Linked DNA regions of Elephas maximus indicus. The protein of the gene in region 2 purifies or fractionates together with the protein of the main gene of each other region. This does not show direct contact. Links are inferred from orthologs where the notes say so. Each region holds a gene or a part of one and is shown on either strand. Other genes may lie near its edges.

What was found.
Region 1: the proteins of POLR2J (region 2) and MED19 purify together in Homo sapiens (affinity purification with mass spectrometry; 3 studies listed by BioGRID and IntAct, with this or other methods). This does not show direct contact. The link is inferred for Elephas maximus indicus from reciprocal best matches to the Homo sapiens genes POLR2J and MED19.
Region 3: the proteins of POLR2J (region 2) and RPAP2 purify together in Homo sapiens (affinity purification with mass spectrometry; 5 studies listed by BioGRID and IntAct, with this or other methods). This does not show direct contact. The link is inferred for Elephas maximus indicus from reciprocal best matches to the Homo sapiens genes POLR2J and RPAP2.

The regions. Positions count from the first base shown.
Region 1 is NC_064825.1:119,109,899-119,113,646, forward strand, and holds the start of MED19 (mediator of RNA polymerase II transcription subunit 19), read right to left. Parts: upstream 2,197-3,748; 5' UTR 2,149-2,196; coding exon 1,881-2,148; intron 1-1,880. Other genes in the region: TMX2 (thioredoxin-related transmembrane protein 2), read left to right, coding at 2,541-2,729. UniProt on the Homo sapiens protein: Component of the Mediator complex, a coactivator involved in the regulated transcription of nearly all RNA polymerase II-dependent genes.
Region 2 is NC_064830.1:93,971,639-93,975,386, forward strand, and holds the start of POLR2J (DNA-directed RNA polymerase II subunit RPB11-a), read right to left. Parts: upstream 2,986-3,748; 5' UTR 2,897-2,985; coding exon 2,844-2,896; intron 1,796-2,843; coding exon 1,706-1,795; intron 785-1,705; coding exon 610-784; intron 1-609. UniProt on the Homo sapiens protein: Core component of RNA polymerase II (Pol II), a DNA-dependent RNA polymerase which synthesizes mRNA precursors and many functional non-coding RNAs using the four ribonucleoside triphosphates as substrates.
Region 3 is NC_064821.1:149,946,614-149,950,361, forward strand, and holds the start of RPAP2 (putative RNA polymerase II subunit B1 CTD phosphatase RPAP2), read right to left. Parts: upstream 2,902-3,748; 5' UTR 2,842-2,901; coding exon 2,769-2,841; intron 1,893-2,768; coding exon 1,847-1,892; intron 1-1,846.

The DNA.
Region 1 (3,748 bases), on a different chromosome or scaffold from region 2:
ACTGCTCAGGTGAGAAGGCACTTTCTTTTTTTTTTTTTTATTAACTTTTATTAAGCTTCAAGTGAACGTTTACAAATCCAATCAGTCTGTCACATATAAGTTTACATACATCTTACTCTGTACTCCCACTTGCTCTCCCCCTAATGAGTCAGCCCTTTCAGTCTCTCCTTTCGTGACAATTTTGCCAGCTTCCCTCTCTCTCTATCCTCCCATCCCCCCTCCAGGCAAGAGATGCCAACACAATCTCAAGTATCCACCTGATATAATTAGCTCACTCTTCATCAGCATCTCTCCCCAACCAATGACCAGTCCCTTTCACGTCTGATGAGTTGTCTTCGGAGATGGTTCCTGTCCTGTGCCAATGGAAGGTCTGGGGACCATGGCCACCGGGATTCCTCTAGTCTCAGTCAGACCATTAAGTATGGTCTTTTTATGAGAATTTGGGGTCTGCATCCCACTGATCTCCTGCTCCCTCAGGAGTTCTCTGTTGTGCTCCCTGTCAGGGCAGTCATCGATTGTGGCCGGGCACCAACGAGTTCTTCTGGTCTCAGGATGATGTAGGTCTCTGGTTCATGTGGCCCTTTCTGTCTCTTGGGCTCTTAGTTGTCGTGTGACCTTGGTGGCACTTTCTTTTTAGTACTTTCTTTAATCTGTGTGTTCACCCAACTTCTCTCTCCCCAGCCCTTACTTTTCTCCTGAAAATGAATCCTGCATTTCTAACTTCCATTTATTCAACTGCATGTGGATTCAATTCTTATTTTTAAAACTCCAAATCTTCCCAATTTCACTCATGGCTTCTCTGTTTCAATCTATGGTACTCACATTCTCCAGATACTTTTAGAAAGTAGTACTCCTCAATTTAATAATCTCAATTCCTACTATCCTTGAGGAAGGCTCAAATTCCTTTGACTAGCACTCAAGACTAAACTCATCTTACTTCAATTTATCTTTAAGGCCTTACTAATTACTATTCCTCTATGCAAAAGTTATGATCCAACTAAATGGGTCTCCAACACGTCTTTAAAAAACCATTTTTCATATTGTTTCCTTTTAGGAAAATTCTTCCCAATTTTCCAAACAAATATTAATTCTTCAAGGTCTACCTCAAGCCACATCTTATTCATGCTATCATTTTGGACAACATGGAACATATTTTGAAAACCACCATGTAGTTCTCAATATTGTTCACTAAGTTACTGTTATTTGCTGTGTGAGAGGCATGAGCACAAAGTAATGAGACTGGTCTTGACAAAAAATACAGTCACATTACTTTATCCTTAAATCACATCTTTTGGATCCCCAGCCAAAATAAGTTCTTATAAGCAAGGACCAGTTATTATTAATTTCTCTCCCCTTGCCACTACACGCCCCCCCCACTTAGCATTTGCACAGAACAGGTGTTCAATCACTTGTCCACTGATATAAAAAGGTACACTCAAAATGAGTAAGGCAAAAGAAAGGTTAAAGAAACTCCTGGTGGGCATCAACTACTAACTAGCCAAAGGGAAATTAGATTCTTTAAGCTTCAGCTTTTTCACCTAAAAGATGCAAATAACAATGCCTGCCGAAAAGGACCATTCTAAATAAACTTCCAAGTACTGCACCAAACGCAAACCCTGAACCATTTTTAGGAAGCCATAAACCATTGTCAGGGTCAGAACCCGGATACAGACTGGAGGTTGGTCGTGGAGATGCACCAGCCCACGAATTCATGCCATCCCAGGAGTTGCCGATGCTCAGAGCCCTTCCGGCTTTGAGCAACTGTGCAGTGGCACGCGTTGCCTAGGTTACCTCGCACCTCCGCCGGCCGGCTTATAGCCACGCCCATCATCCCCTCTCCATGATCTGATTGGCTAGTTTAGGCCAGGCTTACTACTCACCTGGCAGTTCCCGCATTAGGTAGAAAGGGCCACAACCAGCCGCTGACTTATCGGCGCCAGGAGGGGCTGTGGCTGCGGAAGGAGGCGGGGCCGTGCCGGGTCCTCCGCCCGGCGGAGGAGGAGGCGGAGGCGGAGGCTTTCCGGGACCGAAGCTGAGTGCGGCTGGAGGCGGTGGTGGGTCAGCCTGAGCTCCAAAGAGCGCTGTGAAATTCTCCATCGTCCCCTCTGCCCCGACGGTGCCTCGGCTTCTGGCGTTGATTACTTTCATTGGACAATCCCTTCACGGGGCAACGCCCTCCACCTCCAGGAGCAGTTTATCACTGGATGCCCTAGGCCCCGCCTACGTTCTCCCCGCAACTACTTCCGTCGCTTTATGCGAACGTCCGGGAAATGCTATGTAACCGTATTAATTCTTCTCTGATATCTCCACCCACCGCAGTCAATATCCAATAACATGACTTAAATGGAAAGAGCGGCAGGTAGATTGACCAATAAAGTGTCAAATCCCTTTTTACCTACCAGCAGATCCAATAGACATCTATTTCCGGGTCAATAGGCGGTGCATCCGAGACTTGGTCCAATGGGAACTTCAAGTGGTGTGGGGGCGGGTACCAGACCTGCATACGCCGGTGAGCAGCGGGCGCCGCAAGGGCCGAAAAGATGGCGGTCTTGGCGCCTTTAATTGCATTGGTGTATTCGGTGCCTCGACTTTCACGATGGTTGGCCCGACCTTACTATCTCCTGTCAGCCCTGCTGTCCGCCTCGTTCTTACTCGTGAGGAAACTGCCGCCGCTCTGCCACAGTCTCCCCACGCAACGCGAAGACGGCAACCCGTGTGACTTTGACTGGGTGAGCGACCCCTGCCTGGGACCCCGCGACCTTGAAGCTCCTTGCCCCAGCGGCCACATTTGGGAGTCCCAGGCTTCACCTTTTTGAGGACATCTGAGGTCCCGAACCTGTCACGGACTTATAGGCTATTAGAGCGTAGGGCCCGGACCGTCATTGAGTCTAAGATGGGAGTACAGGAAAGAATGACGTCTCGGAGTTGTACAGTCCGTTAGTTATAGAGCCTGCCCAGCAGCCCAGACTCTGGTCCAGGGTTTTTTCCGTCTCACTATTCATATTCGTTAACTGCCCTGCCAAAACTTTTACAACGTTTTACAGTTTTTAAAGCTCTTTGCTGCATGTGATGTAAAGCCTCTTATTTGGGTAGATGAGGCAAGTAATAGTATTTATTATGTTTTATTGGTGTAGAAATTGGTCTCAGCATGGTTAGGCGACTTGTCCAAGGTCATACAACTACTGAGTGGCTGGCCTTGAAACCACTCTTCTGTCCATAGTACTTGCACAGTTTCTTAACAACAACAAAAAAGCTGCCGTCAATTCCGACTCATAGTGACCCTATGGGACAGAATAACACTGCTGTCGAGTCGATTCTGACTCATAGCGACCTGATAGGACAGGGTAGAACTGCCCCATAGGATTTCCAAGGAGCAGCTGATGGGTTCAAACAGCTGACCTTTTGGGTAGCAGCTGTTACTCTTAACCACTGCGCAACTGGGGCTCTGCATATTCTGTTAGTTATTTCTGAGTTTTGTAAACAGTTCCAGAGTTCATATTGGCGTTTGGAACCCACCGAGCGCGGATCCATGGGAGAAAGACCTGGCGATTTGCTCCCGTAAAGATTACAGCCTAGAAAACCTTGTGGGGCAGTTCTGCTCTTTCACATGGTGTCACTATGAGTTGAAATTGAACTCCATGGCACCCAATAGCAACAACAACATACAATGTACCAGGCACTATTGCTGGGTCCTGAGAGTGCAAAGACAAAACTGTTAGGCTTCATGTAAAGGGAACGTGAAAAGTAC
Region 2 (3,748 bases):
GTCACCAAACCAGGGCCCCAAAAAGCACCAGGGGAGTGGGCAGTCAGGAACCAAAGGCACCCTCGGAGCTGGCTCCACCCATCCCACGTCCAGCTGCCCGGGGTCAGAGTCAGGTGGAGCACAGGTGTGTCCTGGGTGGGCTTTTGACTTAGACATTGAGAATCTGACTAGCTATGATCTTTTCCCCCTATAAATTGGGCCCAGACTGAGGTCCCCTGCCATAAACAGCTGTGGCCACCACCCATGTGGCCTCCTGAACCTTGGGACTCTACCCTAGGCTGAAGTGCTGCCCAGAGAGACCAGTGCTGTGCAAGCAGCAGGCCTCATAAAGCAAAGAGACTTGAAAACAACTTCACAGGGCGGCAGGTCACTTGCTGCCATAAGAGTGCACAAAGAGGCAGGCCCTAGAGCATCAGGTGAGGTTCCCGCTTATGGGTGCAGACAGCAGGCCACGGGCCTCAGCTCCATAACCCCTTTGTTCAGAAGAATCAACCCAGGGGCCGTCCTAGGTGTGAGCAACAGCGCCAGGGGACCTGAGAACGCTGCAGCACTGGGCATGCTGGCTGGCATCAGCCTCTAGCCGGTCTTTGTCTGTCCCCAGGACCTCACCCGGAAGCGCTCTTCCAGCAGGGAGAGCTCGCTGATGAGGTCTGTGATGGCATTGGTGAAGGCTTCCTGAGGGCTGTAGTCCGGTGTGGTCTGCACTCGGATGATGATCTTGTGCTCCAACGGGTGGGGGACTTTGTAGCCAGCAAACAGCACCTGTGGGTCCTTCAACAGCTGTCTGAAATACAGGGGTGGGAGGTATGCCAAGTGCCCTTGGGGCCCTGGCCCAAGCCAGGCCAAGGCTGCCAGGCAGCTCACAGCTCACTAGGCTGTCCAGCAAGAAGCCCATCTGTTAGGCTGAGGCCTGTTAACAAATGCCTCTGGGGGCAACCCCAGGGGTCCCCTGCTCTTCATTTGTAGTTTAGTTTTCCCAAAAATCTTCAGGTAAAGCAGATGCTTTGTAGAAGATATACCATGTGAGGATACATACACACACCTCCTCCTTCCCTCCACCACTGTCAAACCTACACCCACAAGGATCAAGGAGTCTAGCTGGGGAAACAGGGCTTCTAGAAACTTCCTCAGGGGAAGTCAGGGACCCCGCAATGCCCCTAAAGAGCCCTCAAGGTGATAAACACCAATCATATCCCTGACTACCTGGCCAGGACATCACTGAGGTAAACAAACACCCACTGAGCACCAGGTATCCACCAGGGGTACCAGACAACCACAAAACACCTCTCTCACGTCTTTTCCTTGTCCTACTGAAATTATGATCTCTGCCACACACATTGTAGAATGCCAGGTTGACAGGCCACTGAAGTCACCATGACAGATAAGAGTAAGGGGACTGCTTCTCGATGCTTACGATCACAAAAGCACAAGTAGGCATTTCCTACTTTTCCAGGCGAGTACTGTGGCTCGCTGCACACTCACTTTGTCAGACAAATGAGCCCACATAAACACGTGGCTTGTGAACACATAGGGGTCAGAGTCATTCTGAAAAAAAGGTGCTGGAATTGTGCAATGGCATAGGCAAGCACCCCGAGGGACTTCTTGTCCCTCCCTCTCAGACACCTGAAGAATGTCTTATGGAACTTGTGCTTTGCCCAAAGCCCTGTTAAATACAGTCCTTGAGAGCCCTTGACCTGGAACTTACGATTTAATAATGTTTCCTAGTGTGTGGTCTTCTTTGTTGATGGTAAACAAGCAGGCGTTGGGAACCTTGGTGTCCTTGTTAATGGTGATCCTAGGAAGAGGCAGAGGCAGCACATGAGGGGCAGGAGCTCTCCCCAGGTTTAAACCCTGTCCTTCAAGGCAGGCTCAAGTCCCTCCTCCTGGAAGCCTTCCTGGGTCTGTTCATCCCATAAAGACCTCTGTGACTCAGAGCAGCATTGTGTCTCTACCAAGACTCCGGCTACATCCTGGCTCTTAGGACCCCTGCCTCTCTGGATTCCTTCTTTCTTCTAAAGCAGGGCTTCTCACTTTGCAACACTGACATTTTGGGCCTGATAATTCTTTGTTGCAAAAGACATCAACAGCATCCCCTGACCTCTGCAGTAGATGCCAGTAGTAACCTCCCTTGTGAGAACCAAAAAATGTAGACATTGCTAAATGTCCCCTGGGGAGCAAAATGAACCCCAGTCGAGAACTACTGCTGGCTGGTAAGGGCCAGACCACTGAAAGTCCTGCATACCAGATTTTTAAGGGTAAGAAGACTCACTGTTTAATGACGGCCTTCTGGGCTAGGCACTTTACACACTTTCAATTACTTCATTTAACCTTCCCTAAGAGAGAACCCTGTAAGTAAATACAGCAATAAACCCATTTTACAGACGAGAAAACTGAGCCTCAGACAGGTTGTCACTTATCTAAAGATACAGAGTCGGTAATCAGGGGATCCAGGAACCAAGCCTGGGCTGTTTGACCGTTAGACTACATTTGCCCCAAACCTGCAGGAATCGCTGAACGTTTTACATGGGCGAGTGACAGATCGGATATGAACTGTAGAGCCATCACTGGCTGCAGCAAGAAGGAGGTGGCAGGCGGAAAGGCGAGTTGAGGGGACTGCCAGAAAGATCCCAGAGGAGCAGGACTTGGAGGCCCCGCCACTTCCTGGGTCAGGGAAAGTCCCTCAACCTCGCTGAGCCTCAGTCTGCTCATCTGCAAAATGGCTAGCCTCCCCACTGCCCGGAGTTTGGCAGACACGGGCTTCGCCCCAGAATCTTCAGGAGCCGAAGGCCGAGGGGCCCGCGAACCTCGGCCCGGCCCTGCCCCGCAGCGCCGGCTCCACTTACTTCTTCTCGCCCTCGAAGAGCAGGAACGACTCGAAGGCGGGAGGCGCGTTCATCTTAACGCCACAGTCCCGCCACCACCGAAGCCCCACAACACAACCTCTCCCAGCACAGCGTCTGCTTCCAGGTGATGTCGGCGGCGCCAAAGCCGAGCGCGGAGTCGGAGCGACTCATCGCCCCCTACCGGACCGGAGGACCTTGCGCAGACGCGAGAGTTGCCGGAGGCCGGGCGGGGGGCGTAGTGAGGCCGGAACCCGGCTGGTCGCTGTGCGCATGCGTGAGTCTGGAAGGTACATTTGACCTGCTTACAGGTGGGTTCGCTGTGGCGAATGCTCCGGTTCCGGCCCCTAGGGACTGGTATTACTGAAACAGCCTCGTCCAGGCTAAGCGGGTACCTCCGAGCCGGAACCCCTTCCCTTCCCCCTACTTCTTGATCCCTGTATGGAAATATGTCCTTGGAGTACCCAGCAAGAGGCGTTTGGAGAATGGGGTAATAATGCCCATGGGGTAGTGGACAGGTGTGGCCAGCAGCAAGTGGCGGGGAGGGGAGCTGAAGGAGCCCCATGGGCATCTATCCTTTGAGCCAGACCGTTGTGTATGAATGAGCCCCCTGTCAAGGCTGGCTGGGCAGACTGGTAGGTTGTCACTGGCTTACAAAGTTTGGACTTAGTGAGCTCTTTGTTAGGCTAGGTTGTCACTGGCTTACAAAGTTTGGACTTAGTGAGCTCTTTGTTAGCAGGGACAGTTGGGTGAGGGCTGGGAGTTGGGGGTGTGGCCGGGGGGGTGAGGAGGCAGGTGTATACAGGCATGAGAGAGCAGTTCGGTGGGATAAGTGTATCATACCCTGTATTGATTGGTTGGACTTTGAGAGACTACAGCCCAGTATGAAAGCCCAGCGTGAGTTGTTT
Region 3 (3,748 bases), on a different chromosome or scaffold from region 2:
ACATCACTCTGGCCATCTCCTTTCTTTCTCTGTCTCTCTCTTTTTTTTTTTTTAATCTCTGCAGAACTTTTTTTTTTTTTTACTAAGACCAATAATAAGTAGCACAAAGTGAAAACACTATCCCTTCCAAAAAAATTCACATAAAAATTATGCATAAACCCATTAAAAAAACCAAACCCATTGCCGTCGAATAAATTCTGACTCGTAGTGACCCTACAGGACAGAGTAGAACTGCCCCATAGTTTCCAAGGAGCGCCTGGCGGATTCTAACTACCGGCCTTTTGGTTTGCAGCCATAGCACTTAACCACTACGCCACCAGCGTTTCCTAAATTATGCATAAGATTAGAATAATTCTAAATAAAAACCAATAGATCCACTCCTTCCTCTCTTGAGCCACTTTCGTAGTTTTACATTTCAACTTACAGACTTAATTTCTCTCACTTTTAAGAATGATTGAGAGCCCTGGTGGCACAGTGGTTAAAGTGGTCGACTGCTAATCAAAAGGTAGGCAGTTCAAAGCCACCCTCAGCTCCGAGGGAGAAAGATGTCGCAGTCTGCTTCCGCAGAGATTTACAGTCTTGGAAACGCTATGGGGTGGCTGTAAGTCAGAATCGACTCAATAGCAGTGGGTTTAAGGATGATTACTCAAATATGATTTGTGCCAGACGGGGTAAGTCAGCACAACATTGTCAATGAAAGCTAGGCCCTTGAGAACTAGGCTGGGGGGAACCTTGCAAACTCGCTGGCCCCAACACACATCAGGGTTTGTGTTCAACTCTTTGGTCCTCACAGACTCTCTGCAGGTGAGGAAGGCCTAAACCACATGACAGCAAACAATGTTTCCGCAAACCAAAGGATAACATGTCTCTTTTCTTTGAACTGGCCAACCTCTTTCTTGTTTCAGGGTCTTCACACATATTGTCACCTCTGGCTGTAAGTCATTCGTCACTAGTCTTTGTCTGGTTAACTCCTACTTAGCCTTCAGGTCTCAGTGTAATTATTACTTCTTCAGAGAAGCCTTTCCCTGAACCCCACAGCTACTCTCCCCTCCAGCTCCCAGCTAAAATGTACTCCCATTATTAGTTCTTCCTCATAACATCATAGCCTTTTCCTTTATAACACTTCTCACAATTTGTAAGTATACAATTTATAAGTATACCTTGTGATAATTTAATTGGTGTCTCTCTATTCCACTAAACAAGAACTATGTATGGTAGGTCTACCCTGTTCAACATCATATCCTCAGGGCCTAACACAGATCTGACATATTTTACACTTGGTAGATAATTTTTGAATGAATGAATAAATTAAGACTAAAGCCAATACAAGATCAGTGAGCCTTCATAAAGTGAGAAATTCTAGATATATATTTTAATCCTCTTCATAGGCTATGCATATTCTAGAAACCTTCTGAGACAGGTGATAATATTTTGCTTTTTTAGGAGAAGCCAAGAGACAGTACAAGACAACTTTTTGATGAAAATCTGGAATGGATGTAAACAAAGAACAGAAAAGGCTTCTTGGAGTGACAAAATGAGAAGGTTGCACAGTAAGTCTCTGGCATAGCAGTAATGAGTGAGTGTACCTGAAGAGGTGGAAAAGGAGTACCAGGTTAATACAGGCATGTTTATTGTCACAGACTTCTTTCTACAGATACTCATTAGCAGCCTAGAAATCTCTGGTTTGGTTTGAAACAGTCACTGTGAGAATTTATAGTGCTTCCCAGACTTCTACCTTCCCTCTCACAGTAACTTTCTCTAAGGTAGTACCCATTACGGTTTCAAAAAACGGTTCAATTAATATGAGATAGATAAATGAATGCAGTTCTCCAAGAAGTTCTCGTACCTCTTGGAAGCATCTTCTTGTTTGGAGGCACTTGTGTGTTTGGTACCTACGATTAAAAAAAAAAAAAAAAAGTAGGTCAAGTCTGCACAAAGACATTAGGCACAGGACAGATTCCTGTCCAAATAACTCAAACCGCAGGCCATCTTTTCCACACATTTCATTTCTAATCCTGTACGTAAACCAAAATCAAATGGGAAGAGAATCCAACTTACTTTTGTAAATTAATTATTCCCTAATTTTTCTTGGTTAAAATGTTATCTCTTTTGATTTCTCATGTATCAGAGTTGCAGGAGTCCTGGTGGGACAACCGTTAAGCGCTTGGCTGTTAACCTTGACAGTTCGAACCCACCCAGCCTCTCCATGGGTGAATTTGCTTCCGTAAAGATTACAGCCAAGAATACCCTATGGAGGCAGTTCTATTTTGTCAAAAGGGGCGGAAATCGACTTGAGGGCACCCAACAACATCAGAACAGCTTACTTACGCCCTTCTGAAAATCTGAGTTTTGGAGCAACCTTTTCCTGTCTCCTTCCTGTTGGCCCTCTGGCGGGGGAAAAGGGTCGGGATTGACACCTCAGAGAATCAGGGCACCACAGCAGCCGCACTTCTGTAGCACACTGGGCCGGGGTCCGAAGTCTGCTGCGCACGGCTTGCCGTCGCTGCCCTGGGCACTTGCCCACCTCTGAGGCTGGGGTCAAACCACGACGGGAAAAATCTTGGCACACTCCTGTAAAAGGGTCGGAGTCTGCCCGGGAGATCTTGCCCAGAAGGTGCAAAGGCGAGGGTGGGGAGCTCTACGGTCTCCCCATAGGAGACCCTCTCCCCTGGGTCAGTCTTCCGGGAGCTCCCCGCGCGCCTTGGTGTGGAACTCTGCCGGAGCTCAGGTATTAGGGCCCAAACGTGGCAAAAGACCCTTGTTCCTACCTGCGGCCTTACGGGAGGCGCCGGGAGCCCGGGCCTTGCGGCCGGGAGACAGCTGCCCGGCCCAGTCAGCCATGGAAATGCGTCGTCAGAGCGGAGAGCGGGCGTCGGCGTCTCTCCCCGAGGCCCCGCCTCTCTCACGTAGGCGGGGCGGGGCCGGGGGAGTAGGCTGCGCGGCCTGCGGAGTGGAGGAGGGGACTGAGAGCGGCCGGAGGCTGGGCGGGTGAGTGGACGCGCGGGGGGAGCCCGGGTCGCTGGGCCCGCGGGTGGGTAGTGAGGGCGTAGGGCCCGGCGCCGCGGGCAGACCGGGCCCGCCAGGTGATGGGGGCCGAACGCCAAGGACAGCAGGAATCGGGAGAAATGGCTTCCCTTGGATGCCACCAGCACGCGCGCAGCGGTTTAATCCGCCCTCCAGCGCGCCGCTGTGAGGACCCCGCAGACCCGCGCCGGTAGTGCAGGGCTGGGGCCGGGCCTTCCGGCTGGGAAAAACGATGGTCGATGAGACCGGTTCTTCCGGGGACCGCCGGTGGCCTGGTCTCCAAGTAATAAAGTGATTACAGTGACCAAATTGATTATCTTGGCGACTGCAACTCTTAGAGAGCAATGTCACCGCCAACCCTTGGGCTGGAGGGCATCTGAAGTTTCACCCCATTTGAATGAGTTAAATGTGTTGCTCTCAAATTTTTGTCAGGTGGGACATTAAAAAAAAAAATTCCTAAATGATTATAACTTGGATTTCAGGCCCATCTTTTGGGAATTTTTTCAAAAAAGACAATTTCACTTTATTTAAAAAATCCTTTATAGAGTTCATATTTGCCCTATCTCTTAAGAGTGCTCTAGAGGAGTTTTTTTCCTCTTTCAAAATAATACTCCTAGAAAACTTAAAAATACAACAGAAAGAAAAGCAACATCTTTTAAAAAAATTTTTTTTTAATTTTCTTAAAGCTAACACATTAACTTTCAGTAATAACATTTTTAGCTTT